Linked DNA regions of Cricetulus griseus. The protein of the gene in region 5 purifies or fractionates together with the protein of the main gene of each other region. This does not show direct contact. Links are inferred from orthologs where the notes say so. Each region holds a gene or a part of one and is shown on either strand. Other genes may lie near its edges.

Region 1 (4,018 bases), on a different chromosome or scaffold from region 5:
CCCACAGAATCAGCCCGCACTTCTCGGATCACTCGAGGCTTGCTGCTACTTGGGCCTTGGAAATACAACTCACTAGAGAAGAAAACATTTGTCAGCAAGGTCCTGGAGAACAAGTTCCTGACCTTACCCACAAAGACACTTACAATCTACGCATCAGCTCAGAAGGATATTGATTTTGAGGGTTCCGGACTGCCCCAGGGTCTCTGCTCCGCTGCTCCATCATCAGTCGGTGCTCAATGTAAACATCCAGAACATCTTTATTCACCACCTAAAGAAGACAAGGAAAGTGAGAAGCAGGACAGGAAAAGAATGGGGGTTATCGGGCAGGAGAGCTCAGAAACCAGCAACCTACCTCCTTCTCCTTGTACTCAGGCAGAAGCTCTTGTACAACATCAGCAAACAGCTTTGAGTAGCGTTTGGCATTCTCACAAATTGAGTCGACCAGCTCAGGGTCATCTTCAGCAACATCATCTAGGTCCACGTACAATGCCACTTGTTCCCGATGAGCCAGATGAACCTGAGGCAAGGACCAAGTTTACTACATCCACAAAAACAAAAGATCACAGTGCAGAAACACTTTCAGCCCCGAAAACAACTTCCTGACTCCTATAAACACTGCCCCACATACCAGACAAGTACTCTGCTAAACTAGCCACTACAGTCTAGCATGGCAGTGTGCTTGTAATCCCAGTACTTGGGAGGCACAAGTCAGGATGATCAGGAGTTCAAAGCCAATCTCAGCTATTTAACCACATGAAGTATTCTTGAGGCCAGTCCATGTCACACAAATACTATCTCTAAAAACCAAGAGCCAAGAATAGGGGTGATGGCTCAATGGGCCAGGCACTGCCACCCAGCCTGAAGAACTGAGTTTGATCCCCAGAACCCACAGTGAGAGAATGGACCCCCAAATTGTACATTCGACCTCCATTTCCATGTAAGCCCACACATACACGAATAAACATAATTCAAACAGTTAAAAAAAGACAAAACCCAAAGCTAAAAAGAAAAACTTTGTACACAACAACCAAAACCAAATCATTCACGCCTTTAGTCCCAGCACTGGGGAAGCAGAGGCAAGTGGATCTCTGTGAGTTTGAGACCAGCCTGGTCTGCAAGAGTGAGTTCCAGGACAGCCTCCAAAGCCACAGAGAAACCCTGTCTCGAAAAACCCACAAAACAAACAAACAAAAATCCACTGACAGCCATACTTGCTGTAACAAGGTAGACCACCTTGTACAAGTTCTTACATGCTATTCCAACCCCCCATTACCAATCCTGGGACTTACCAACTGGGTTCCATACTTGAACTGCTTCTTTCCGAGTTCATCATCATAATAAAACTCTTGCAGGAATTTTCTAACTTTTTCTACAAACAAATGTAAAAATTCAAAAACAAATCTTAAGGAACAGTGAGGTGTAAAGACCACTGCGGCCAAGCCTGACTATCAGAGTTCAATCCCTGGGCCCCACCCACAGGCTGGGAGAGAACACACTCTCGGCCTGTATCTAACACCCACGTGCAAGTAGTGGTATGTTCGTGCAGCACACACAATCTACCTTTTCGGATTCTTTAAATTTTCAACGGAAGCCTAAGAAACCCACTTTCATTTAGGACGGGACCTATGAACTAATTAGTTAAATGAACAGTCAAAAGAAGCCTACCTAGTTCTCCCCCAAGCGGGCAGTACCCCTTTTCACAAGTCTGCTTTTACCCGGGGAAGGATACAGGTCCCTGGGCAGTTACGAGAGTCTTACCCCAAGCTTCCAAAGAGAATGTGACTCACTGCCCAGTTAGGAGTCTCAGTTTCTTCCGTTCTCTCAGCTCGCACACGATCGACTTTCAAGACTCTCGGTCCTCCTTCCACCCGTACAACTCTTTTTCTACTCCCGCCAGGACGACCGCCGCTAGGCCTCCCCCGCACCCCACACCCCGCTCCCGCCACCGCTTCCGCTCTTAGTAAACAAAGAAGCACATGGGCCCGGATTCCAGCCGCCTCACAGCCCAGGATCCCTCCGCCCGAGGCGGCTGGCCGTGCGGCGATTGGCCAGCACGCCAGAGGGCCACTCGGGGCCACTTCACTGCCACCTCTCGCCGCCGGGCGTTCAGCCTCCCAGTTCCAGGCACGCCCCTACCCGCCGCAGCTACCCCCGAGCCCCTGCGCGGAAGGACACTGTTTACACACGACACTCCCTCCGACAGGGAAGCGCCACTTCCGCCCGCCTCTACTTCCGCTTGGAGGGCGGACTAAAACAACCAATCCCGGCGCGCAGCGGCCTGACAAGCCCCGCCCCCGAACCCCGGCGCGTCTCGAGTGGACGCGGGAATTCTCTGGCGCCCCAAAGAGCAGAGGCAGAGGCCCCCCCTTTCCCCGGGCCCTCGGGCCGCGCGCTGCATGCGAGCCGCGCGCTGCAGGCGAGCCCCACGTCACCCGGGTCTCGGCGGCGCGGCGCGGTGCGGGGTGGCGCCCTCCTCTACCTGGCCCCGCTGGGTCCTGCTCCTCACACAACCGCATCGCTCCCATCCTGATGCCCGCCACGCTCGTCCCGGGCGCAGGCCGGGCCCCCCGACACAGACCCCGGCTCCCCTCGGCAGGCGTAGAAGCCCGCGGAGAACCGCTCCCAGCCCGCTCCCAGCACGCCACCTTTCTCGATCGCGTAGTCCTTGAGCGCCATCGCTGCCGGGGACCTGCGACGGGAGCCGGCGAGCCGAGAAGCCTCACTCCGGGGAAGCGCAGAGCAAGCGCGCGGCGCGATGCAGCCACCAACCGAAATTGGCGCGAAACGTCGCCACCCACGTGATACGTGCCGCTGAGTACGGGCCAATCAGAGCAGGGGCCCCTAACCGCTGCCGGCACCCAGTTTCAACCAATCCCTGGGCGAGTCTGGGGCGAGTGACAGGCAGCGAGGGGGAGGGCCGCAGGGAGAGTGCTGGCCCGGCGGGTGGGGCGCCGGGTTTCCCGCGGCTCAGAGTTACGGCCTCCCGTGTGGAAGTGGGAGGAGTGTTTCTTAAAGCGCCAGCCTCCGTGCCTCCTTTTGTTCGTCGGCCGCAGGGCGGGGTGGCTTCAGCTTTCTCCGTCTTCTCGTCTGCCCTCCAGCACGGCCATGATTTCCCAGTTCTTCATTCTGTCCTCCAAGGGGGACCCACTCATTTACAAAGACTGTATCCTTGGCCAGCGAAACGGGGCGGAGTAGTCGGTAGAAGTGGAGCCCAGAGCCTTCTGGGTCGCCTGCTCCTTAACTATCCTTCCAGTTCGCGGGGACAGTGGTGGTCGTGATGTGGCCGAGCTCTTTTACCGGAAGCTGACGGGACTGACTGGAGGCGAGTCCCCGGTTGTCATGGTAACCACTTGTGGCGGGCTTGCAGGGGCTTAGGACTGTAGAGCTTGGTGGGTGCCTCATCGCTCCCTTTCAAGGGCTGCTTGATAGGAAGCTTCCAGGGAGGGGAAGGGATACGTTTCTCCAAGTGTATTTACTGAGTGCTAACAAGATGCCAGCAACAGCCTTGCACCCTCATCACTTGACTGTCAACAATCCTGAGAGGTAGGTTACACGTTAGGAGGCCAGGTAGTTGGGAGGTTTCAGGGATCACCCACTAGTAGCAACCTTAGGATGCCATCTCGTGGGCTACATTACTGCAATTCTGGTCTTTTAATGCCTCTCTCCCCAACTCTGCCGCAGTACCATGATGACCGTCATTTCATCCACATCAGACACAGTGGCCTCTACTTGGTGGCCACAACCTCTGAAAACGTCTCTCCTTTCAGCCTCCTCGAGCTGCTTTCCAGGTGAGTGGGGCTGGGATGGGCACCCAAGAAGCAGGGCCTGAGAGGGTTAGTCACACACACTCAACTGTGTTTCCTTAGGCTAGCCACTCTTTTGTGTGACTACTGTGGCTCACTCAGTGAGGGGACCGTCTCACGGAATGTGGCTCTTGTCTATGAACTGCTGGATGAAGTACTGGTAAAGCCCAAAGACTTCCCTCTTTTTTTTTTTAAGATTTTATTTATTATGTATA
Region 2 (4,209 bases), on a different chromosome or scaffold from region 5:
TGCCCAGTTGGAAAGGAAACTGCTAAATAATTTCAAAGGGTTTTTTGTTTGTTTGCCTGTTTGTTTTTCACCTCTATTATCAAACTGGCATTATTGCTGCTCCTAGCTTTAGATAGGGTAACACTGGAATAATTTAAGTGTTGAGAATGTTCCAGCAGGTGATCCCCTGGCTAAGCAGATAAGCTTCAAGAGTCTGACTTCCTAATAGGTAGGTAGCCTGGTTCCTACGTGTACTCGGCAAATAGCTACTTATTAACCATTGCTTTGCTCCTAATGAATGAGAGACCTTAAACAATGTAACTCTTCTATTCACTTACTACAATGGATCTACAGAAATCTGACTCAAAAGTTAGGTATAGCACTAGAGAGGCCAAAGACCACAGTAAATTCACAGCTAGGCAGGTCTACATAATGAGAATCAGGTGAACTAGGGCTACACACTGAAACTCCAAATCTCAATCTCCCTCCCTCCCTCCCCCTCTCTCTCTCTCCCTCTCTCTCTCTCTCTCTCTCTCTCTCTCTCTCTCTCTCTCTCTCACACACACACACACACACACACACACACAAATCCTCTAACCTAACTTCAACTCCATTGAATCTATAAACTCTACCATGTGTATCTTTACTCCAACCTTTTTCCCACTGACTTTTTAAAGCAGGGTCTGTGTAGTCCTGACTGTCCCTGAACTCCTATATAGATCAGGACGGCCTCGAACTCAAGAGAGCCACCTGCTTCTGTCTCCAGAATACTGGGATTAAAGGTGTGTGCCATGACACTGGTCCCTACTTTTATAGAATTATTTCAATCCTAATGTTGTATTTGGAAATATTCTAAAACAACTATTTCATGCAAGATTCAGGATTTGTTGGTTTGGCTTTCTGGTTTTTTTGCTTGTTTTAAATGTTTATCTAATTATGTATGGGCATCAAGTTTTTTTTTGTTTCTTTTAAATGTTTTAAATGTTGATGTAAGGGCATCAGAGAGCCATGGTATGCCTGTGAAGAGGACAACCTGAGAGAACTAATTCTCTCTTCCCAGGGTCTCAGGGATCAAATTCAAGTCAACAAGCTTGGCAGCAAGTGTCTTCTTCACACAGTCATCTTACCCACCCTCAACCCAGTTTTTTTGTCTTTTGGGTCTTTTTTGTTTTGGTTTGGTTTTGGTTTTTCAAGACAGGGTTTCTCTGTGTCCTGGAAATCACTCTTTAGACAAGGCTGGCCTTGAACTCACAAAGATCTGCCTGTCTCTGCCTCCTGAGTGATGGAATTAAAGGCTCATGCCACAGCTGCCCGGTTCAACCAGGGTTTTAACTTCTAGATCCATACTTGGTTGAACTAAAGTGTTTCTTCCATAACTGTTTATTTTATTCTCTATTTTCTTTTTATTACTGTTTTCATAAACTATCCCATCACTTCACTTTTCCTGTTTCTTGTCCCTCCCATTTCTCCACCACTACTTCAGTTAAGTGTCCTACATGACACTAAACATAATGCTAACTAATAATAAGCAAATACTCAATGCCCATTGTATCAGAAACCATGATAAGCTGACAGACGGTATCTCGTATAAGCCCTAATTTTTAGTAAATAATCGTGTAATTCCCATTTTACAAGAGCAAAAATCAGAACAGAATGATTTATCTCAATTCACATTGAGTAACTGACAGAGTTGGGATTAAGTGTACAGTCAGATTCCAACATCTACTGTGCTGACTTTTAAATATAAGTATATGAATATCTGGGTTATAGTATATAGTATATATGAATATATGGGTTGTAGCAGTAATGTGGAGACTACTAGAAATGTAGAGGGACCAAAAGAATATAATGGTGTTTGACCAGGCAGCAATATATGCCTGTAATCTTTTCAATTAAGACTGGGAAATCTTTTTGAGGCCAGCATGAGCCTAAGACCCTGCCTTTAAAAAGATTGTCTTGCACATAAAAATGACTTAACACTTAATTTCCATTAACTTTAGTTCTGAGAAATAATATGGTCCAAGTTAAAAACTCTAAAACTCCAATATGCAAATAAAATAGACTTAAGTTCACATCAATTTTGTCTAAAGTTTTCTTCGGTGGAGAAATATGTTTCCTATTAGTGCTGTCCAATATAGTGGACACACATCATATGTCATTTACTTACCATGTGAAATGTCTGGTGTGACTAACAGAATTTTGAACATTTTGTAATATAAATAGTTGCATGTAGCTGGTAGCTACTGCTATCACACTGGAAAAAAGCAGGTGTAAAACATAAAATTCCAGAAAAAGAGGAGTGTGGAAGTGCTTCATGCATTTATTTGGACAGTTGATTAACAGTCAAACCAAGTAATATTTCTTTACTGTTTCAGCTTCAATTAACTCAATATAAATCGCCAATACATTTAAATTGATCAGTTGTTCTCTGATATCTTCCCACTCATGCTCACGGACAGACAGACACAGACACAGACACAGACACACACACACACACACACACACACCTGTAACAGCTACAAAACTGCTATTAGGAGGATCTTTTTAACTTTGGCCTAGTAAAACGGTTTTATAAAAACACTCAAGCACACTTTCAATTCTCAAGTGGTCAGCTGATGTAAAGTGCCTGCTTACCTCGATTCCCCACTGCCATTTCTAACACTTTCTTCATCACTGTGTCCATTCATTGTAAATTTCAAGGAAAACACAAATCTTCCCACTTTAATAAAAGATGAATATAAATGGCAACTTCCTCGAATATCGAAATTTCAAAGACGAATTTTCTTCAACATTCACAGGGTTTCTTGGGGATCCTCTCTTGATTCACCTGGGGGAAATATATTAGCAGTTAAAAACATATCCTGTAGGAAAAGAAGTAAGTCCGACTTAGAACTCACAGAAATGTACCTAGGCCCTTAGACTAGAGGTGGCAAGGAAGATGGGGAAGCCTTTGACTTAGAATAACTAGGCATCTATTAAATACATTCTTAATTACTTACTAGAATCTTGCCTGCCACTGCTAGTGCTGTTTCGACAGAAGGAATTTAAAGATTTGTAGGGCAACAAACTTTTCAAGGCTAATTGCTACTGTGTAGCACTACTTATATATACATCACTAAAACAAAGTGGCACCATGTAACATAAATTTTTTTTGGTAAAGGTTACATTAGTGACGCTTTAATTCCTATTACCATGAACTTCATATTCCAGCTAAGGAAAGGTTTTAAATGCCCATATGGAAAAGGGTGTGATAAAAAGGTATCATGATTTTGACAAAAATGCAAACGTCAAAATAGAGGTTTTTATCAAGTAGAGTGAAAGGGAGGGAAAGGAAAAAAGAAACATTTATCTGATGTGGTACTTAGGACGCCTTGAAAAGCATTAAAAGGTTGATACAAAGAATATACACTGTATCTTCTTTTCCCGGCCGGCGATTGCCGGGAGGTGGGTACCAAGACAAACAGTATTTCCACCTCTCAAGATTTCGCCGGAGCACTAGAGTCACCTACAAGCCAACCACGAATAAACAAAGGAGATCTCTGGCAGGGGAGGGAGAGGAAGAAGCGGGGGAAGGAGACGTCAGATCCTTCCCCAGCCAGAAAGTACCAAGACACACACACACACACACACACACACACCGACAGGCAAGAGTTATCCTCTGACTCCAGCAGCGACTTAACTCTGATTCTTTCCACGCCGCAGAACAGAGGGTCACCCCGGGCTTCTGCCCACCTCGGCCGAGGCCGACTCCCTGCACCTGGTGGGTGGATCAGGATTTCGAACGTGCAGAGCTCAACCTTCCTACCTCTGCCAGGACAGGTTATCTAAAACCCACAGCACTCGACAGTAATTCCTGACGTTAACTATTAATTCCAGCCTGGGTGAAAGAACTCTAACTATTAAGCCGTGTCCGAGTCCTCCTCCACCTCCTCCTTCTCTCCGGAAAGTCTGCGCCGAGAAAAGTTCACTCGCCCGGGCGCTCTTTCCCTTTCACCTTCCTCTCGCCCCTCAAGATGGCTTTCCCCGTCCGCTGGACTTCCTTTCCAGCCTCACCTCCTTTCTCCGCCTCGGCGCCTTGCCCTCAAGTCCTGCTCCAGGCGCCCGGGACTCCGGACGCTCCCGCGCCTCAACAATGAGAGTCCCCCCGAAGTCGCCCAGGCTCTGCAAGCCTCCCTCCCTACCTCCCTCCCTCCCCGGCCTGGCAGTTGCCGGGCTCCGGCTAAGTTTGCC
Region 3 (2,333 bases), on a different chromosome or scaffold from region 5:
CTCCACGAGCTGGTCTAGTCTTGTCTTGTTCACTTCCCATCAGGGTGACTGACCCTGCTTGGCACTGGAAGGTGGTAAGGGATACCCTCCCCGAGAGGGAGGTGAGAGCTTGCCCCCCACCCGACAGCAGAGTGCAGGACGCAGGCGGCCCCACTCTGACAGGCAGGACCCTGACCCTCCTCCTCCCCCATCCCCTCCATGGTTTCACCCTACCCTACCCACTTTTGTCCCCAGCCCCACTGGCAGAATCAGCTTTGAGTAACTGTACATTTTCTCGCTGTTGGAGAAGACTTATTTGTTGGAGTTTCAATTGTTAATGGTCTGGGCTTATTTTGGAAAAAAAAAAAAAAAAAAAAAAAAAACCAAAAAGATTGTGATTTTTGTTGCAATGCATTTCTTGGGAAGTCCATGGGGCTTTGCGTTTGTGCTTCAGGCGGAGGTCATGGAGCACCTGGGGTAGGGATGGGTTGGAGGGGACGAAGAACTGAAGCTCTGGGAGGTGAAGTCAAGAGAAGTTGACTTTATTAACAGCAAAGATTCGAGGGGTGGGGACGAACAAGGGGCTCACAAAACAGACAGCTAGAAAAGTGCTTCCCTGCCCTAACGGTGTGTGCGCTGGCCTCAGGAGGCCTCGCGGCTCAGTCACTGTCACTCTCAGCCTCACTGGAATCAGAAGCTGCAGCTTCACTGCCATCCTCCTGAGCTGAGTGCTCGCTGCCACTTTGGAAAGGGCTGGCACTTCGGCTCCGGCTCTGGCTGCGGCTCCGCTGGCCGCCCCCATCACTGCCACTGTCCGAGTCATTGTCACTGCCCCCACGGGCCTGCCCTCTGTCCTCCTCATCAGAGTCGGCATCGTCCTCTGAATCAGCGTCGCTGCCGAAAATCTCTTCCTTGTCGCGGGCAGCACGAGCTTCGTCCTCGCTGCTCTCATCCTCGCCGCTGCCACTCTTGTCGCTTCCCTCCTCCCTGTCACCCTCCTCCCGGTCGCTCTCGCTGCCAGAGCGCTCGTCCTCGCTGCCTTCCTTCTCACTGCTGCTGCCTTTCTCCTGCTCCTCATCTGCCAGGAAGCAAGGACAGGTGAGACCCCCACTGCCTGCCGCCTTCCCAGAGCTCCCAGGAAAGGGTGTGACCACTCCTTTACCTGAGCCCCCAGCTTCCTTCTCTTCAGCCTCCATCTCCTCCTCCTCCTCCTCCTCTGGTTCGTGGTTTTCCAACTGGGCCTTTCGTGCCTCCTAGAACCAGTGAATTGGGACGAAGATGGAGGGTGTGTTCTGTCCTCACCCACCGCTAGCCTCCCCGTGGGGGTCCCGTGGGGGTCCTAGGCCAGCAGAGTTTGTTACCTGAGCTTCTAATTCCTTCTCATTCATGTCCCGGTGTTTGACCACAAGCAGGGCATTGGTGCCTGACTGAACCCCAGCCTTGGCCCGACGCTTACTAAGACGGACCCTGTAGTGGACAATTGCAGAAGGGGGAAGATTCAGTTAAAGACCGTCTCACTAGACACCTGGTTCCCTATCACTGTTTGGCCCAGAGCATAGCAGAGTACAGAGTATACATACAGTGTACATGAGAATTATGGAGAGTTAATGTCTGTGATTTGATTTACCCAATTTTAAGTTTTTGGCTTTAATTTTTTTTAAGTGAATGGGTGTTTTGTGTATGTACCATGTATGCAGTGCCCTCAGAAGCCAGAAGAGGGCATCAGATTTTCCTGGCAACTAGTGTTGACAGGCTGGAAGAACAGGCAGTGTGCTTCACGGCTAAGCAATTTCCCCAGGCCCCTTACCCAACTTTTAAAAACAAGGAAGTGGCAAATTTTGGGTTTCTGGCTTTTAAATAGGAAGGACATAGCAACAGTAGACTGAGGCTGGACTGTACTAATCACTAGTGTTGTCACCGGCCTATTGTCACATCCTCAGCCCAACTACATGATCAGAACCTGTCATCTCTGCACTCAGCAGAAACTCAAACCACAGGCAACAGGACAAGTTAACATTCAGCCCTCAGAGGAGAGTTCTGAATTGACACTTTTTGGTCAGGTACTTCATTTAAAACCCGCTCAAGGGTCGGGGAGGTGGTTCGGCTGGTCCAGCGCCATGGTGGAGGGGGGGGGGTTATCCTGACTTCCTATCATAGTACGCATACAAAATACAAGCACGGGGAAACAACTGACAGCAACCCAAATCACATATACAAAACTAATAACACTGTAGAAACGAGGGATGTATCTTAATAGCAGGGCACTTGCCTAGCATGTGTGAGAAAAATGACCATGTTTATATCCTGTGTTATGTAAAGATTTTTTTTTTTCTGGTTTATGGTATTAGAACCAG
Region 4 (3,500 bases), on a different chromosome or scaffold from region 5:
ATAATGTTTAAAAGCAAAATGAAATCCTAGCTGCAATCTCCAGTGTTATAGTATGGGTGTTAGAACACCTGCAGAGGAGTTCTCAGGGTCCTCCATAGTTTTCAAAGCAGATGTAGTGTCAAGGCCCTGCAGGTGGGCCTTCTGGCTTATTTGTGGCATCCATGGTATGTCTCAGGCCCTGGACCTAGGAGACTCACCTCGGTCTGGGGTTAAGTTGGCCTTCTTGGCTGGAGGGCTCTGCCGGTCTTTGTCTGATGGCTCATAGCGCTTCCGGCTCCCTTTATCAGCCGCCTGAAACAGCACAATACTGTGAGGGTGGTAGGGCCTGGGTAGTCATTAGGCAAGGATGAAGGTGGTGGTGTATCTGAATGGTTCTTTGCTCCCATGGTCCTCTTTTTGCCCCCCTGCCCCAAAATCAGTTCTGTGACCCTTGTGACCGGGCCCTTTGTGTTGCATAGGGAAGTGCCTTTCAGGGCTCCAACATGTCAGGCCTTGGCCCTTCCAGATAGGTATGGAGCTTTGAGGACAGAACCCAGGCTTGCCTGCCTGCTGTCCCAGGGCTACTGTGTGGGGAGCTAGCCAGGCTGCAGTTACAGGCACATGAACTGTAACTCTGAGGTGCTAAACCTCTGCACTATGCTGATGCATCTTGGCCCATCTCTCAGCCCAGGGGCAGGGTGGAATCCCTAGCACCCAGGCCCAGGTGCAACAATACTGGCCTGTCCCCTTGGTCTCACCTTATTCAGCAGTGTCAGCTTTATCTCCTTGTGGGCAACAAAGGAGCCCTGCTGGGGCTGCCCAGGGGCTGTCTGCTGAGGTGCAGCTGACTGCTGGGAGGACTTCCCACCTGTCGGAGCTTTGGAGGACTTGGGTGGCTGTGTGGACGGGTCCCGTTTCCGCTTTTCCTCTCTCACTCCGTCTTCTTTCTTAGATTTCCCTGTCAATGACAAACCCTCAGTCATATGTTCCTGTGAACATGGACAGTCAAACAGTCTGTTTAAAGCTCACCCCTGAGCCCACACCCCTAGGGCATGGGTCCTGCCTACCTCTCTCCTTCTTGGTCTGAGCAGGAGTGGGGGATCGAGAGCTGGCTGAGGACACAGGACTGGCCAGGTCTGCATACATGTCTTCTGAGTCCACACTGTGCACTGAGCTGCTACTTGAGGTGGCGCTGGACACCGAGGAGACACTGCTCACACTCAAAGACCTAGACACACAAGCACAGCTGTTCACCTCAGCCCCATGAAACTGCAAGATGGCTGGGCTGATGGCAGTTGTGGGGGGAGGTGTCTCTATGGCTCATCTTTACCCAGTTTCCATGTTTATGGAATGCACATCAACAGTGTAAGAGATCTTGGGGCTTTCAGAGGTACTATATAAGGATAGGACAGCTATGTCATGAGCTAAGGTCTCTACTTTACTAACCAGGGTGACACTATGGTGAGAAGGGAAATGTGACTGAGCCCTACCAATGGTGATAAGGACTTATCTATCTATTTATTTATTTATTTATTTATTTATTTATTTATTTATTTGTTTGTTTATCTTCAAGAAAGGGTTTCTCGCTGGGCGGTGGTGGCACATGCCTTTAATCCTAGCACTGGGGAAGCAGAGGCAGGCGGATCTCTGTGAGTTCGAGGCCAGCCTGGTCTCCAGAGCGAGTGCCAGGATAGTCTCCAAAGCTACACAGAAAAACCCTGTCTCAAAAAACCAAAAAAACCAAAACAAAAAAAAAAACTAGTTCCAGGACAGCTTCCAAAGCCACAGAGACACCCTGTCTAGAGCACCCCCCCCCCAAAGAAAGGGTTTCTCTGTTTAGCTTTGGAGGCTGTCCTGGAACTAGCTCTGTAGACCAGGGTGGTTTCAAACTCAAGAGAAACGCCTGCCTCTGCCTACAAAGTGCTGGGATTAAAGGAGTGTGCCACTGCCACCCAGTATAAGGACATGCTTTTAAACTCGTTTATGGTGCACAACAGCTACAATCCATTACAATCCTCTCCAGTAAGTGGAGAGGGTAAGGCAGATCTGTGGGTTTCAGTGTAGCCAGGGCTTGATAGTGAGACCCTATCTTAAAAAACCAAAAGCAGCACAAAAGGGGTGATGACAGCTGGCAGGTGTGCCGGTGCCCAGCTTCCTGAGAAAACTGACTAAGTCCAGGAGTTCAAGCTCATCTAGGCAAAACAGGGCATCTCTCAACCCAAAACCAAAACCCTGGAGCACGGTAGTAGAGCACTTAGAACAAAATGCAAGGCTCTGGGTTTCACCTTTAGTACCACCATCGGGAAAAAAAAAAAAAAAAAAAAGAAAGAAAAAAAATTGGATGACAGTAATTAAACAAACAGTGACAGTTTCACTGTCAGGGACAGTGAACACAGGGCGAGGCTGTGGCCAGGGGGTAGGGGAGGATGGAGAGAGTAGATGGTGATTCTGTTTTGGCACAGTGCAGTACCATGACATGCCTATCACAAACACCAATCCTAAGGTCATCAGAGGCAGGGAGAAGACAGAAGAATCAAATTTCCTAGCTTTAAAGACAAATGGGGCTGGAGAGAGATGGCACAGTGGTTCAGAGCACTGGCTGCTCTTCCAGTGGGGCCTGGGTTCAATTCAGAGCACCCATATGGCAGCCTACAACTGTAACTGTAACTCCAGTTCCAGGGTCCTCTACCCTATATCCTCATACAGATATAAATGCAGGCCTCTACCCTATATCCTCATACAGATATAAATGCAGGCCTCTACCCTATATCCTCATACAGATATAAATGCAGGCAGGATATCTGTACATAAATAAAACACCACAAGTCTTTGAGACAGTGCAGACTGCTGACATCTTGGACAAGTGCTAAAACTCTGAAGGCTGACTTCATCTTCTAAATCCTTTCTGGTCTTCTTTAAGGGTTTCTCCAAAATGCCTAGGGATCAGCAGGCCCAGAGACCATTGTCTATCCTCAGGGAAGGAGTGGACAGAGAACTTGGGAGTGGCCTCACTTTGTCCAGCTGGGCTGTACCAGTCTGAGCCTCTTCCCCTAAGATGAGATGCTCTTGTGTTAAGGGAGCTATCTTCACTCTTGAGCTGTGTGCCCCTGGACCCTGAGGAGCCCCTAACATGGTGGGTGAGAGACAAAAGGTTGACATGGAGCAGGACCAAGCAACTGACCTGGATCGGGAACTGGAGCCACTGTAGCTGCTGCCACTGCCGCTACCACTGCCGCTGAGTGTCCGCCTGCAACACAAGCAGCACACTTCACCTCAGAGGCGGTCCTTGCCGAGGCAGAGCCTTCCTGCACACCAGGCTAGTTGTGGGCCTGAGATGTGCTCCAGGTTGGGCTTCTGCTCCCTGATGCTTCCCTGGTGAGACACCCACCTCCCAGGCTCTAGTTTTTATCAGCATCTACTCCCCGGCAGCACCAAGGATAAGAACTGTACCAGGATTACCACAAGCCCATATGCTCACCTCCTTGGGGGAGTTCTTGTTTGCCGCTCCTTCCTTCTTGCTT
Region 5 (4,037 bases):
AAAAGTTCAGCAATGTATCCTTTATCAGAAACCATAGTTAACTGAGCATGTCAATTCAAAACCTTTAAAAAGCCAGGCAGTGGTGGTGCACACCTTTAATCCCAGCACTCGGGAGGCAGAGACAGGCAGGTCTACAAGAGCTCGTTGAGGACAGCCTCCAAAGCCACAGAGAAACCCTGTCTCGAAAGAACTGTTTAAAAACAATTTTGCTTTGTTACTAGAGGCTGTTTCTGGGACCCAGATGCCCTCAGCCATGCTCTCACAGATGTCCTTAATCTTTTTTGTTTGTCTTTGGAGGCAGGGTTTCTCTGTGTAACAGCCTTAGCTGTCTTGGAACTTGCTCTGTTTACCAGGAAGGCCTTGAACTCACAGAGATCTGCCTGCCTCTGCCTTCCCAGTGCTGGGATTAAAGATATGAGCCATCACCGTCTGGCTGCTAGCCACATGATGGCTCCATGGTTAAGAGTACTTGTTCTCCCAAAAGATTGGGTTCGCTCCCCAGCACCCACATGATGGTGGCTCACAACTGTCTGTAACTCCAATTCCTTCTTCTGAGCTTTGAGAGCACTAGGCATACACATGATACACAGCCATACTTGCTAGCAAAGCTCATATACATAAAATTAGTTTTGGTGTTTTGTTTTTTTTTGTTTTTGTTTTTTCAGACAGGGTTTCTCTGTGTAGCTTTGGAGCCTATCCTGGCACTCGCTCTGGAAACCAGGCTGGCCTCAAACTCACAGAGATCCGCTTGCCTCTGCCTCCCAAGTGCTGGGATTAAAGGCGTGTTTGATGTTTTGTTTTTGCTTTGTTTGTTTTTTTTTTTTTCAAGACAGGGCTAATCTGTTTAGCCCTGGCTGTCCTGGAATTCGCTCTTAGACAGGTTGGCCTGCCTCTGGAGTGCTGGGATTAAAGGCATGCACCAACACCGCACAGCAAAATAATTTTTTAAAAAATAAAAATATCTTTTTATACCCCCCCAAAAAAAACCCAGGTTGGGAGAGGAGTAAAGGAACTTCCAATCCCAGATGTATGAATCACCTTGCTGAGTTTTTAAACTCTGTATAGGTGCTCTTTTGATGAAACTGGATATTAAAAACAAGTAACTCAAACAGCTCAAAATGGAAAAACAAAATCTCAGAGCTAAGATTCTGAACCAGGACAGAAGGAGCAAGTGGAAACCACTATCTAAAACAAGATGTGAGAAAACCTGGAGTCCGGGCACAAAGAAATTCACAAGATAACATTTGCAATGAAAACAGACAGTAGTGTTTTGTTTAACAGTCTCCAGTTGCCCTGCTCTGAGGAGCCCAAACCAGCAATGACATGATTATCAGAACACCAACTGTCTGTAGAAGATTAAAAATAAACAAGACAGGGCAGTTACAAAAGGAGAGAGTCATGGCAACAAGATCTCTCACCGATTCTCGGAAGCCATCATACTTGTAGACATGGCCATTTTTTGTAAGCAGTTTAAGTCCATGGCCCAGTGCTACCCGGCGCCAGATGCCTTCTGTCAACTCCCCAGCCTGGATATTGTCCACTTTGCCGGTCTTGCTGTTCTTAAAGATGATACCCTGGCGGCTCAATCGTAGCCTCCCATCATTCTGTCCAAAATACAGAGCCAGATTCAGAACAGGATACAGTGTTAGCAGGTCCACTTTACCCCTCACCTGTGTGGTGCTGATGCAGGATGGCCAGATTATCAATGGAAAAGCAACAGTTCAAGTGGTGAGAGTGAGATCAAGTCAAAAGACACAAGAGACCTCAAATCAAGACCGAAAGCTTGGCTCTGGTACCCGCAGCCTTGTTAACCCCAGTTTCCTGGTTTTTAACACAGGAGTTTAGGATAGATCTACACGTGCAATCTCTTCAAACTGAAGAGCACAACTCTTGAGACTCTGCTGCTGCTTTTGCAGATACCCTATTTCCAAAACTGCAGTCAGGGTTAAGCTTTTCTTAATGGACACGAACTCTTCCCGATTTCTACATTTACTAAAAGACCAAGTCATTCTCACCATGGACCCTTTCACCTCCTGGAAGATGTCGTTGAACTCCAGTGTCTCTGCCATATTCACCTGTCTTGGTGGCCTGAGCACAGAGCCCTAGGCTGCACCAGAGCAAACGAACCCTTTTCTGGGAGCTGGGCCCCAATTCCTGGTGAGGTGTGTAGATGTTCAGCAGGGTGGGAATCTGAATTCAGGAAGGAGATTGATAAACAAGTAAAGACACCACCTTACCCCGCTCACCCATGGATAGCTGTGCCTAGACTGGATCGTCTCAAGTTCTCCAGCGCCTGAGGACCTTACAGACCCGGCTCTGCAGCGTTCCTGAGGCCAAGGCCCAGGACCCTAGGTGCAGAACCAGGCCTGTAGTGGCGCTTACACCCCAACCCGACACCCTCTCGGGACGTTCCATCGACAGTCCACGGCAACAATCGGCGCAAGCCCGGGACCTGCTCAGAGAGCGCACCTCAACTCGCTCGGAGAGTAGTGTCCCGACCCCAGCGATCCCACACCCCGAGACCCCCTGGACCCACGTTTCTCCCCCTCCTTTTAATATGGATTCGCCCACTGCCGGCGAAATTGAACGCGGAACGATCCATCTCGAGCGTCCCGCGGGGGAGCAGGGCCCATGCACACCCGGGACCCGGGATCGCGACCACCCACCTCTTTGAGCTGCAACCTCGCGACGGCACAGCACGGGCGGTGGGCGCAGGGGGACGCGGGGGAGGAGGTAGGGATGCGGGGGAGGGGACGCCGGGGAAGCTTTTCCCGCGTGCGCGGTCCCGCGTCCCGCCACCGGAAGTCGCGCACAAACCATAGAGAGGAAGACCTGGCTAGAAAGACACCAGCCGGGCGGACCAACGGGACGGTCTCCTAGAGCGTCGGTACCTTGGGCTAGTGACGGTCTTGCTGTGGAATCCCACGCGGCTGAATTGTTAACTAGGAAATGGGAGCTCTCTTTAGAAAGTTGCAAACCCTTCTAAAAAGCGGAGATTCTGAAGAGAAACTATGAAGTTTTATCAGGCTTTCAGGTTTGTTTGTATGTTGGAATCATTCATGTCCCTCTCTCCTGTTAAAATAGTCGGGGAAGGAGTCTTTTGGAAAGAGAAAATGCAGACCTATGGCCAAAATGACGCCCCCACTAGCCGCAAACGGAATGCGGGTGTCGGTGACTGTGCTTGCTTTCCAGCTGTATCCTGGCAAGTGGATCGGATCCTTTCTGAAATGAGTTCACCTTCCACCCCCAACATCATCCCATCCATATCCCTAATATGTGGGTTCTCAGGAAGAGCCTGGCAGATGGCCGCATTAACTTCCAAGTGCTGGTGTCAGATTTACCTTTGAGCTAGGACTTACTTGAAACCACATCAGCCTGAGTTGGCAGAACCCGGATGCCCTCACATAGCGCCAGGGTACATCTTGCAAAATCTGAAGCCGGGTCTGAAAGAGATGCTTGAGTTTATCTCGCCCTTCCTCATTTTACAGATGAGAAAATTGAAACACACAAAAGATTTGCCCAGGGTGTAAGTACATTGGCATCAAAGCTAGAGCCCGGAATTCAGATTCCTTAACATCAGCCTTTTATCATAACCATGAGGGTCCAACCTTTAGAGTAATTGCTAGCATGTGCCCTGCATAAAGACAGAATATTTAAACTCACGGTTTTCCTGACAATCACTGCACTGATTTGCTAACTCAGTCCTGGGATGTGAGACAGTCAAAATGCAGTCTTGCCATCTAGAATTTGTGGCTTTAACCCCTGGGTTAAGCACTGCTGTTTCTAGCACTATTTAACTGAGTCAAACTGGGTTTAAGACATGTAATGAGAGCCTATTGTTAAAGCATCACATTTCTAGGATTTGAGGAAACCATTGAAGATGGTTAAAACAGTCCCAACCTTTCAGGAGCACATACCCTAACCAAAGATTCAAGTAACCTGGGGGTAAAAAAGAAAATTCAGAAATTTCTATACAGCAAGAAGTGTTTCAGCCACTGCTGCCAACTGCAGTTAGAAGTAAGTGAATTTCCACTTTG
Region 6 (3,948 bases), on a different chromosome or scaffold from region 5:
TCTTGAAATTACTGTGGAAGAGACATTCATGATAGAGACTAGACAAGTCAAGACTATAAATATGACAAAGCACAATTGGACAATTTTCTGGATATAAAACTGCAGTTGGGCAAGAGGCATGGACTCTGTGATGTCTTGAGGTCTACTGAGAGCATGATAAATATGGTTGATAACATATGCTATACTTTAAAAGTTGTGAGATAGTATACTTTAAGTGTTCTCAAAACAAAAATGAATATGTGTGACACAACATGTTAATTGGTTTAATTTAGCCATGCCATTGTGAACATACTGTATTATGTATCATAATTGTGCATGACTTTATTTAGAGCTAAATGAATGAATGGAAAAAAAAAGCATCAGGTCTCAAGTGTACAACTGAACTGCACAAATACAACATCCATAGCCCTACCCTGTGGCAGGAATAAAGATATTGCTGTTTTTTTTTCTCACTTTATCCAATCTGTCAGAAAATAAGATGTATTTAATTCAAACAGACAAGAGTTAGGACAGGTTCTGTAATGAAGTGGACACAGGTTCAACTATATATTCGAATCACAGCCAGGATTAGAGTTCAAACTTAACCTCTTACATCTCAAGATGGTAACAAGCAAATGTGTTAGTCATCTCTTGGTTACGCTGAAAAAGCCTGAGAAGTCAATTTTAACGAACACTGCTATAAGGAAAACGAGTGGTCTGTGTATTTCACCAAACTGCAACTTTGTCGGGATGCATTACAAAAGGAGCAAAAGTTGCCATGCCTGGGAAAAAGCAAGCTGATTATTCAGTGGCTTGAGTACACGGGCTTCTCTTTTCCAAGGTGCTCTCTTGGACCGTGCTTCCTACATCACCGGGAGGCCGGAAGAGGGTGACCAGGGGCGGGAGCTCCGCTGACCGGAAGCCGAGTCCAGCTGTTCTCACACCCTCCTCACTTCCGTCTAAACCGAGAACTCCCAGTTTCTCAGGAGGTTTCACCTCCCGAAGTCACAAAAGTCCGGAGAAAAACAAACTCCAGACTTCGGTATCCGTCCGGACCAACAGGCTATCGCGAGATTTCGGGCTCTGCCACTAGCTTCACTGAAGGCATCGCGAGAGGGCGGTGTCGGGGGCGGGGCAGACACGTCGTGGGCGGGGCACGCCGTGGCGGGAATTTCGCCTGCTTCCGGTTTGTTCCCGGAGTGTTCCGCGTTCTGGTTGCCGGCCCGCGGGTCTCCCGGGGGCGGAACGTTCGCTGCACCCGGGGCTCTTCCGTCACGGTGGCCCGCGCTGGAGGGCACAGAGGCGGCGGGGCCGTCTGTAGCATCCCTGTCCGCGCCAGGAAAGCCGCCTGAGGTGCGCGGGGGGCCTCAGCAGCCCCCTGTGGCCGGGAGGGAGCCAGGGCGGCGTTGGGAGGCTGGTCAGAGGGGCCCGAGAGGACGCCCGGATGTTTGCAGACCTGGCTGAAGGCACGTTGTGGGTTTCCGAGCCCCTCGGCTACTTTTCAGCGTGCTCCAGCTTCTCTCCCAAGCCTTGGAGGTGACTGTGAGGTACCACGGTGTCATTTCAGGGCACGATGTGAATGATGGATGGCGGTTCTGCCGTGTCCACGACGTTCCTGACGGACAGTTTGGAGCTGGAGCTGGGCACGGAGTGGTGCAAGCCCCCTCGCTTTTCTTGCGCTTTCGACAAGAGAGAAGGAGCGTTGTTTTCTGGAGAGTCCTACCTTGCCAGTGGCGCTCTTAAGCGGTAGGTAACAAAAACTAATCGAGGGCTCCCCATCAGTGTTTGTTTATGTTTGCTTAATTGGTACTGAAGTCTGAACTTTGGTGCCCACCAAATCTTGTTTGGTATGTATAGTACCTAGAAGGTTCCAGGCAGTGTGTCTGCCTTGCCTGGGTTTTGAGTCTTTTCTTGGTCATTGATAATCTCTTGCTTTCTGAGCAGCAGCCTAGGCTATTGGAGTTGGTGTTTCTTCTTAAGGACAGTACCAGTCTACAAGTTTTCAGTAGTTTGTAAGTAAGGACGCAACTGGGTTTTTGTTGCTCTGGGTGCTTTCCAGCCCTAAGTTGTCTGTGCATACAGAGTCATAGACTTAACTTTGGTTGAGTTTGCAGTAAATTGCAGTAAAATGGCTTTTCTTGAATTATTTTTATTAATGGAGGAAACCATTTTTTTTTTTTTGCTGGTTTTGTGGTTATACCCACTTAACAACCTTAAAAGCACATTACATAACTTCATAATGTTATCCCTCAGGCATAATTCAGAATATTTGGTGATTTAAAAACCCATCAGTTGTTCAAAGATAAAATACTATGACCGTGTGTATTGCCTAGAATCCTTTTAGGCTTTTGAGCCACATTGCCATTATTTTATGCAATATAAGGTGTAGATACCCAAGCATTTCCTGACTTATATATGCCTCGTATAGCCTGGATTCAAATGTTTAAGTCGCCATTCTCATTACAGGTTGATTTTAAATCTTGATCCATTACCAACTAACTTTGAAGAGGATACAGTAGAACTATTTGGCATCCAGTGGGTTACCGAAACAGCATTAGCAACTTCATGTCGAGAGCTCTTTCATTTATTCAGGTACATGTATGTCTGCTTTTAACCCCAGATTCTAGATGCTGTCTAGTTTTACATTGCTGGGTGTTTCCCAATACTGATTACAAAAGCATCGGGAATTGCTTTTGTTTTGTTCGTCTTACCATTATCCACATAACGGTTTTAAGGAGTTGTTTATATTGCTTTTCAGAGTCCTTATTACTGTGTGTGCAATGCTAGAGATAAAACACAGGCTATTGTAAATGTTAGGCAAGCATCGCACCACTGAGCTATATTTGCATTGAATAAATATTTACGTGTGTGTATAATATTCTATACATAACATTGTATATGCATTGTTTTTGTTCTTAAGACAGAGTCTCAGTTGTATTCATTGTGTAGTGCAGGTTGTTCTGAAACTTACAGCAATGCTCCTGGCTCAGCCTAATGAGTGCTGAAATTTTAGGTGTGTACCGTCATGCCTGGCCTTGGTTTTGTGACACCTTGTTTCGAAGACAAGTATTTAAAGATTTAAACTACATTCTGTGAGCCCTCATAAAGAGATGCCAGTGTATCTTTGATGTATTCTGTATTTTAAGTTCTTCCTTTTAAGTGATTGTACATTCATACAATCACACATTAACGAATGTGTGATTGTATGAATGTATACATGCATGCGTGGTGCTCACAGAGGTCATCTCTCTAGCGTGAGAGAAGAAGGGGAGTGAATTTTCTATAATTGTGAACATTATAGTGAATGGGTTTTGTTATTGTTTGGTTTGTTTTGGTTGGTTTTTGGAGACAGGGTTTCTGTGTTTGACTGTCTTGGACCTTGCTCTGTAGACTATGTTGGCCTGGAACTCACAGATACCCACCTGTGAGTATCTCTGCCTCCTGATTGCTGGGGTTAAAGGTGTCTGCCACCCTGGCCTGTCAAGAGTTGTTGCTGGTTACCCTTCTTTAGACACCTCTTGCGGGAGGGGGTGAGAAGATAAGATGCAGTACCAATGACTCAGGCACCAGGAGTCATTGAGTAGCACAGGCTGCTGCAGACTTAGGCCTGCCTTTATACCCCCTCCCAAGGTCCTATTGGCGTCTGTGGGTCAGGTGTCCCTACAGCCGTGTGTGCTGGCCCGAGCACCTGTGACAGGGTGACTGCTCCTTGGGTAGGCTGGCCACAGTTTCTCCTACAATGAATGAGTCTCTCCAATAGAATTTGGAGGCAAGTAGGAATTAAAATGAGGCAATCTATGGCTTTATATGTATAATTTTCATTTATATAACTGTTTTAGTTTACTTTTCTACTGCTGTGATTAAAGACCATGACAAAAAGCAACTTGGCAAGAAAAGAGTTAACTTAGCTTACAGGTTGCAGTCCATCATCACAGAAAGGCATGGTAGGAGTCTGGATATAGGATGAAG
Region 7 (3,500 bases), on a different chromosome or scaffold from region 5:
ACCCAGCAGGCATTCCCAAGATCGGCGATCTTCACTTTGAGTTTTTCTGCATTTTTTGGCTCAAGGGGATTAATAAGAAAATTTCCAGCAGTGAATTTTCCTACAGACAACAGCCATTATCAGTTAAAAGAGTTAAATGAACACAAGATAACCTAAGGGAAACAAAAGTCTCCAAGTTAAGATTTAGACGATCCCCAGGAACTTCTCCTGAAGCTTTCTTTGTAAGACTCAAGTTTCTTTCTTTGCTTTTTTGGCTTTTAGAGACAGGTTTCCCTGTATAGCCCTGGCTGTCCTGGAACTCACAGAGATTCACCTGCCTCTGCTGGGATTAAAGGTATGCGCCACCACAGTCCACTAAGACTCAAGCTCCTAGAGCATAAAGCCCCTGTAGACAGATGACTGGAATGCTCTGTCCCCACTCTAAAGCTAGCCACAGATCTACACACTGGAAGTAACTTGAACAACTGCTCCCTCGAGATGTAGCTCGGGGTAGATTTTGCCCAAACTACACAAAGTCTGCCCAACCCCACTTCAACCACTGTAACAGACACCCCTGTCTCCCCATGGGGAAAAACCAAACCAAACCAAACAGATGCCTGGTGTAAAAAAGCAGTTTGCCTAGGAATCCAAGAGCACGCTGTGCAGGGCGGGCGTCAGGGTGGTACCTTTGTTGTCCAGTGGTCCATTATGCTCCTGCTCCTGCTCATCCCCAGAAGGAATCTCTGCCCGGATGCTCTCTTGAAGGTGGCTGATGTCCTGCTCTACGGAGGAGGCCTGGCACACCATGGTCTCTGACACCTCAGAGGTCACAGGTGTGCAAGAGTCTGTTTCTGGAGATGCACTGCTGTCTCCATTTGGGGAGGTCAGGAAACTAGCTTCCTGCTTCAAAGTGTGCACACGGCAGTCATTAGCATTACGCAGGTCCTCTTTCAGCCTCAATGTTTCATTGTTACTGTTTTCAGTGTAATTAACGACTCCAATTACTCCATTGCAATTAATTTCTGTGTCACCACCCTCTACAGCACACTCCGTGAGGGTCTGATCCTGACCACTGGAACTTGAGTCTTCTAAGGAACAAACAGAAAAGGATGCGTGTGTGTACGTGCTGGTCAACAACAGATACTTCTCACAAGTTTACAACATTTCTAGCTTTTACTGAGTGACATAAAAACAAGACTAACAACCCTCTGACACCTACTGATGGAAGGACAAAGATCTCATCCTTACCCAGTAGCTACAAAGTCTATCTCCACCTCTGGAGGAGAAAGCAACAAGTTACACTTTACTATCACCTGCCTAGCATCATGGTAAGATCTGAATTCTTACAGGACACCCCCAGAGATGAGCTGCATACATGAAACCACACATTACATAACAGAGATAAACAGATGCTCAGGTATGCCATGAAGCCATGGTTGCAACGCTCTATTTATACCAAGTTTCTCTTGGGTCATTTTATTAGGTGGGTTCTCTGTCAAGGGTGTTTCAACAGGACTCTCTGATTCTTCTTGCTTGTTAGGTCTTTTTTGCCCGGGGCCCGACTCTTTCTCCATTTCCTCAATTTCCTGCATTCGCTTCTCTAGTAACTCTGCCTGGCGCTTCTGCTTCTTCTTCAATTTCTTCTTCTTATTCTTTGACATTTTGTCAGCCTGGGCGGAGATTACAAACAGATAAAGCCTTCAGGTGGCTAATCCATTACCCCTGGTTGGAGACAACTGATAACTTTAATTATTTCCTAATTAAATTCCACTCTTTCCCTAGTATTCCATTAATGCAAATCTGCAGAACTGTTATGAAACTTAACGAAATGACACTAACAGGTCTCCATCTTCTGTATAGTCTGGAGGCTGGGTCACCTCTATTCACAGAAGCCTCACCAGTATACAAACTTGCTGACGGTGTGATCAGATTTATTGGAGAAAATCATGGAAGCGCAGGAAATGGTCCTTTTCTTTGATTTTCACTCTAAATAAACCACTACCATCCATAATATGCCCGTGCCCAGTACCCAGAAGTTAAACACAGGAGTGCTGCATGCTTATACTTACTGGTTTAGGCTGTGGAGCAGTACTGACTGTAAAAAAAGAGAGAAAACACAGGTTTGCCAGAGTCTCATCCTCTCACACAGCCTACTTTCTCCAAGTGACAATGCAGGAAACTACATTATTTTTAAGAAAAACAATACATAGAAAGTGGCCAAACTTTTATTCAAGTAGTTTCTTAAAGTAGTTTTATTAGACAGGGTTACTTTGTAACAAATAGCTCTGCCTATTCTGAAACTCACTCTGTAGACCAGGCTGGCCTCCAACTCAGATATCTGCCTTCCTCTGCCTCTGTTAGGATTGAGGGCCTACACCACAACCATCTGGCTTAAAGAAGTGTTTTAGAGACAGGGCCTCTCGGTGTGCTGAAATTAAAGGCACGTGCCATCCTGCTCAGACTGTAAAATACTCTCTCCATCACCAGTACCCATCTATCCAGAGCCAAGTTCCTATTTAATCCCACAAGCGATGCTGCTCAGAACAGCACTTCTGCTGTCCATGCGTAAGCACCCAGGGTTCCCACCCTTCATGTTTTCCTTTTGCACTTTGTCTTTTATTAAAGCACAAAAAAGTATAGCCATAGTGTATAGCCATAGTGTTGCCATACATGTGCTCAAATTTCACCTTTCTACAAATTCCAGTCACCAGGCTTGCATGGCAAATGCCTTTACCTGATGGGTCATGCTGGATCACTTGTGAGTTTTAAAGGCGGACATCAAGAGCTAAGTAACCACCACAGGGAATATTACAGTTAACAGCACAGCTTTGGTGTGGTGTGGTGTTTCATTTTCCTTCCAAAAGTATTTACAGTTGTGGTTTAAAGGCATGATAGAAAATTCATTTTCTTTTCATCTTAGAAACTGAACCCTACCCATCAACTTTCATCTCATTGGGTATTCTTGAAAATAAGTCCTTAATAACTGGTGTTTCAATGTGTCTAGAAACATCATCAAATACAATTAAACTACTAAAATTAAACCTGCACCTCAAATGGAAAAATCACCACAATCGTTACTCACTGAGCACAGCATTGTGGGGGCTCTAACAACTGCTTCAATGGGAAATTTAAAACCCACAATTCCTGTTTAAGGGAAAATGAAACCAAGTGACTCAGTCAGGGTCTCCTCATCAATGAAAACAAACTAGCAGTTCTCCCTGGCAATGTCAGTAACTGAGCATGTGTGAGCACCAAGAGGCAAATACATAAAAACAGCCACCCAAGGAGCAACCAGGGACACACACACTGCTACAATCTAGGCAAGGAGGAGCCGAGGCAGAAGGATCAGGAGTTCAAATTTTTCCTTAGCTATTGTATAACAAGACTTCTAAAATTGGGGTCGGGAACATGGTTTGGCAGGTAAAGACACTTGCTACTGAGCCCAAAAACCTGGATCTGACCCCAGGACCCACATGGTGGAGAGAACTGACTCCAGCAAGCTGACCTCACATTAACATGCA

What was found.
Region 1: the proteins of Ssrp1 (region 5) and Mcm7 purify together in Homo sapiens (affinity purification with mass spectrometry; 4 studies listed by BioGRID and IntAct, with this or other methods). This does not show direct contact. The link is inferred for Cricetulus griseus from reciprocal best matches to the Homo sapiens genes SSRP1 and MCM7.
Region 2: the proteins of Ssrp1 (region 5) and Chd1 purify together in Homo sapiens (affinity purification with mass spectrometry; 3 studies listed by BioGRID and IntAct, with this or other methods). This does not show direct contact. The link is inferred for Cricetulus griseus from reciprocal best matches to the Homo sapiens genes SSRP1 and CHD1.
Region 3: the proteins of Ssrp1 (region 5) and Paf1 fractionate together in Homo sapiens (co-fractionation; 3 studies listed by BioGRID and IntAct, with this or other methods). This does not show direct contact. The link is inferred for Cricetulus griseus from reciprocal best matches to the Homo sapiens genes SSRP1 and PAF1.
Region 4: the proteins of Ssrp1 (region 5) and Zc3h18 purify together in Homo sapiens (affinity purification with mass spectrometry; 3 studies listed by BioGRID and IntAct, with this or other methods). This does not show direct contact. The link is inferred for Cricetulus griseus from reciprocal best matches to the Homo sapiens genes SSRP1 and ZC3H18.
Region 6: the proteins of Ssrp1 (region 5) and Mms22l purify together in Homo sapiens (affinity purification with mass spectrometry; 3 studies listed by BioGRID and IntAct, counting the BioPlex papers as one, with this or other methods). This does not show direct contact. The link is inferred for Cricetulus griseus from reciprocal best matches to the Homo sapiens genes SSRP1 and MMS22L.
Region 7: the proteins of Ssrp1 (region 5) and Srpk1 fractionate together in Homo sapiens (co-fractionation; 3 studies listed by BioGRID and IntAct, with this or other methods). This does not show direct contact. The link is inferred for Cricetulus griseus from reciprocal best matches to the Homo sapiens genes SSRP1 and SRPK1.

Annotation. Positions count from the first base shown.
Region 1 is NC_048597.1:116,878,958-116,882,975, reverse strand, and holds the start of Mcm7 (DNA replication licensing factor MCM7), read right to left. Parts: upstream 2,801-4,018; 5' UTR 2,677-2,800; coding exon 2,646-2,676; intron 1,910-2,645; exon of another isoform or gene 1,759-1,909; intron 1,370-1,758; coding exon 1,290-1,369; intron 518-1,289; coding exon 353-517; intron 269-352; coding exon 144-268; intron 73-143; coding exon 1-72. Other genes in the region: Ap4m1 (AP-4 complex subunit mu-1), read left to right, coding at 3,106-3,163, 3,254-3,342, 3,682-3,788, 3,867-3,963. UniProt on the Homo sapiens protein: Acts as a component of the MCM2-7 complex (MCM complex) which is the replicative helicase essential for 'once per cell cycle' DNA replication initiation and elongation in eukaryotic cells.
Region 2 is NC_048595.1:294,596,785-294,600,993, reverse strand, and holds the start of Chd1 (chromodomain-helicase-DNA-binding protein 1), read right to left. Parts: upstream 2,801-4,209; 5' UTR 2,667-2,800; coding exon 2,614-2,666; intron 1-2,613. UniProt on the Homo sapiens protein: ATP-dependent chromatin-remodeling factor which functions as substrate recognition component of the transcription regulatory histone acetylation (HAT) complex SAGA. Regulates polymerase II transcription.
Region 3 is NC_048602.1:7,488,776-7,491,108, forward strand, and holds the end of Paf1 (RNA polymerase II-associated factor 1 homolog), read right to left. Parts: intron 1,447-2,333; coding exon 1,341-1,446; intron 1,233-1,340; coding exon 1,142-1,232; intron 1,058-1,141; coding exon 639-1,057; 3' UTR 501-638; downstream 1-500. UniProt on the Homo sapiens protein: Component of the PAF1 complex (PAF1C) which has multiple functions during transcription by RNA polymerase II and is implicated in regulation of development and maintenance of embryonic stem cell pluripotency.
Region 4 is NC_048596.1:199,058,590-199,062,089, reverse strand, and holds part of Zc3h18 (zinc finger CCCH domain-containing protein 18), read right to left. Parts: coding exon 3,458-3,500; intron 3,227-3,457; coding exon 3,161-3,226; intron 1,208-3,160; coding exon 1,047-1,207; intron 938-1,046; coding exon 738-937; intron 292-737; coding exon 198-291; intron 1-197.
Region 5 is NC_048599.1:90,498,068-90,502,104, forward strand, and holds the start of Ssrp1 (FACT complex subunit SSRP1), read right to left. Parts: upstream 2,801-4,037; 5' UTR 2,667-2,800; intron 2,191-2,666; 5' UTR 2,070-2,190; coding exon 2,016-2,069; intron 1,605-2,015; coding exon 1,419-1,604; intron 1-1,418. Other genes in the region: P2rx3 (P2X purinoceptor 3), read left to right, coding at 3,012-3,042. UniProt on the Homo sapiens protein: Component of the FACT complex, a general chromatin factor that acts to reorganize nucleosomes. The FACT complex is involved in multiple processes that require DNA as a template such as mRNA elongation, DNA replication and DNA repair.
Region 6 is NC_048595.1:117,167,652-117,171,599, reverse strand, and holds the start of Mms22l (protein MMS22-like), read left to right. Parts: upstream 1-1,148; 5' UTR 1,149-1,445; intron 1,446-1,546; 5' UTR 1,547-1,558; coding exon 1,559-1,725; intron 1,726-2,445; coding exon 2,446-2,571; intron 2,572-3,948. UniProt on the Homo sapiens protein: Component of the MMS22L-TONSL complex, a complex that promotes homologous recombination-mediated repair of double-strand breaks (DSBs) at stalled or collapsed replication forks.
Region 7 is NW_023276806.1:233,711,155-233,714,654, forward strand, and holds part of Srpk1 (SRSF protein kinase 1), read right to left. Parts: intron 2,075-3,500; coding exon 2,049-2,074; intron 1,650-2,048; coding exon 1,436-1,649; intron 1,068-1,435; coding exon 666-1,067; intron 101-665; coding exon 1-100. UniProt on the Homo sapiens protein: Serine/arginine-rich protein-specific kinase which specifically phosphorylates its substrates at serine residues located in regions rich in arginine/serine dipeptides, known as RS domains and is involved in the phosphorylation of SR splicing factors and the regulation of splicing.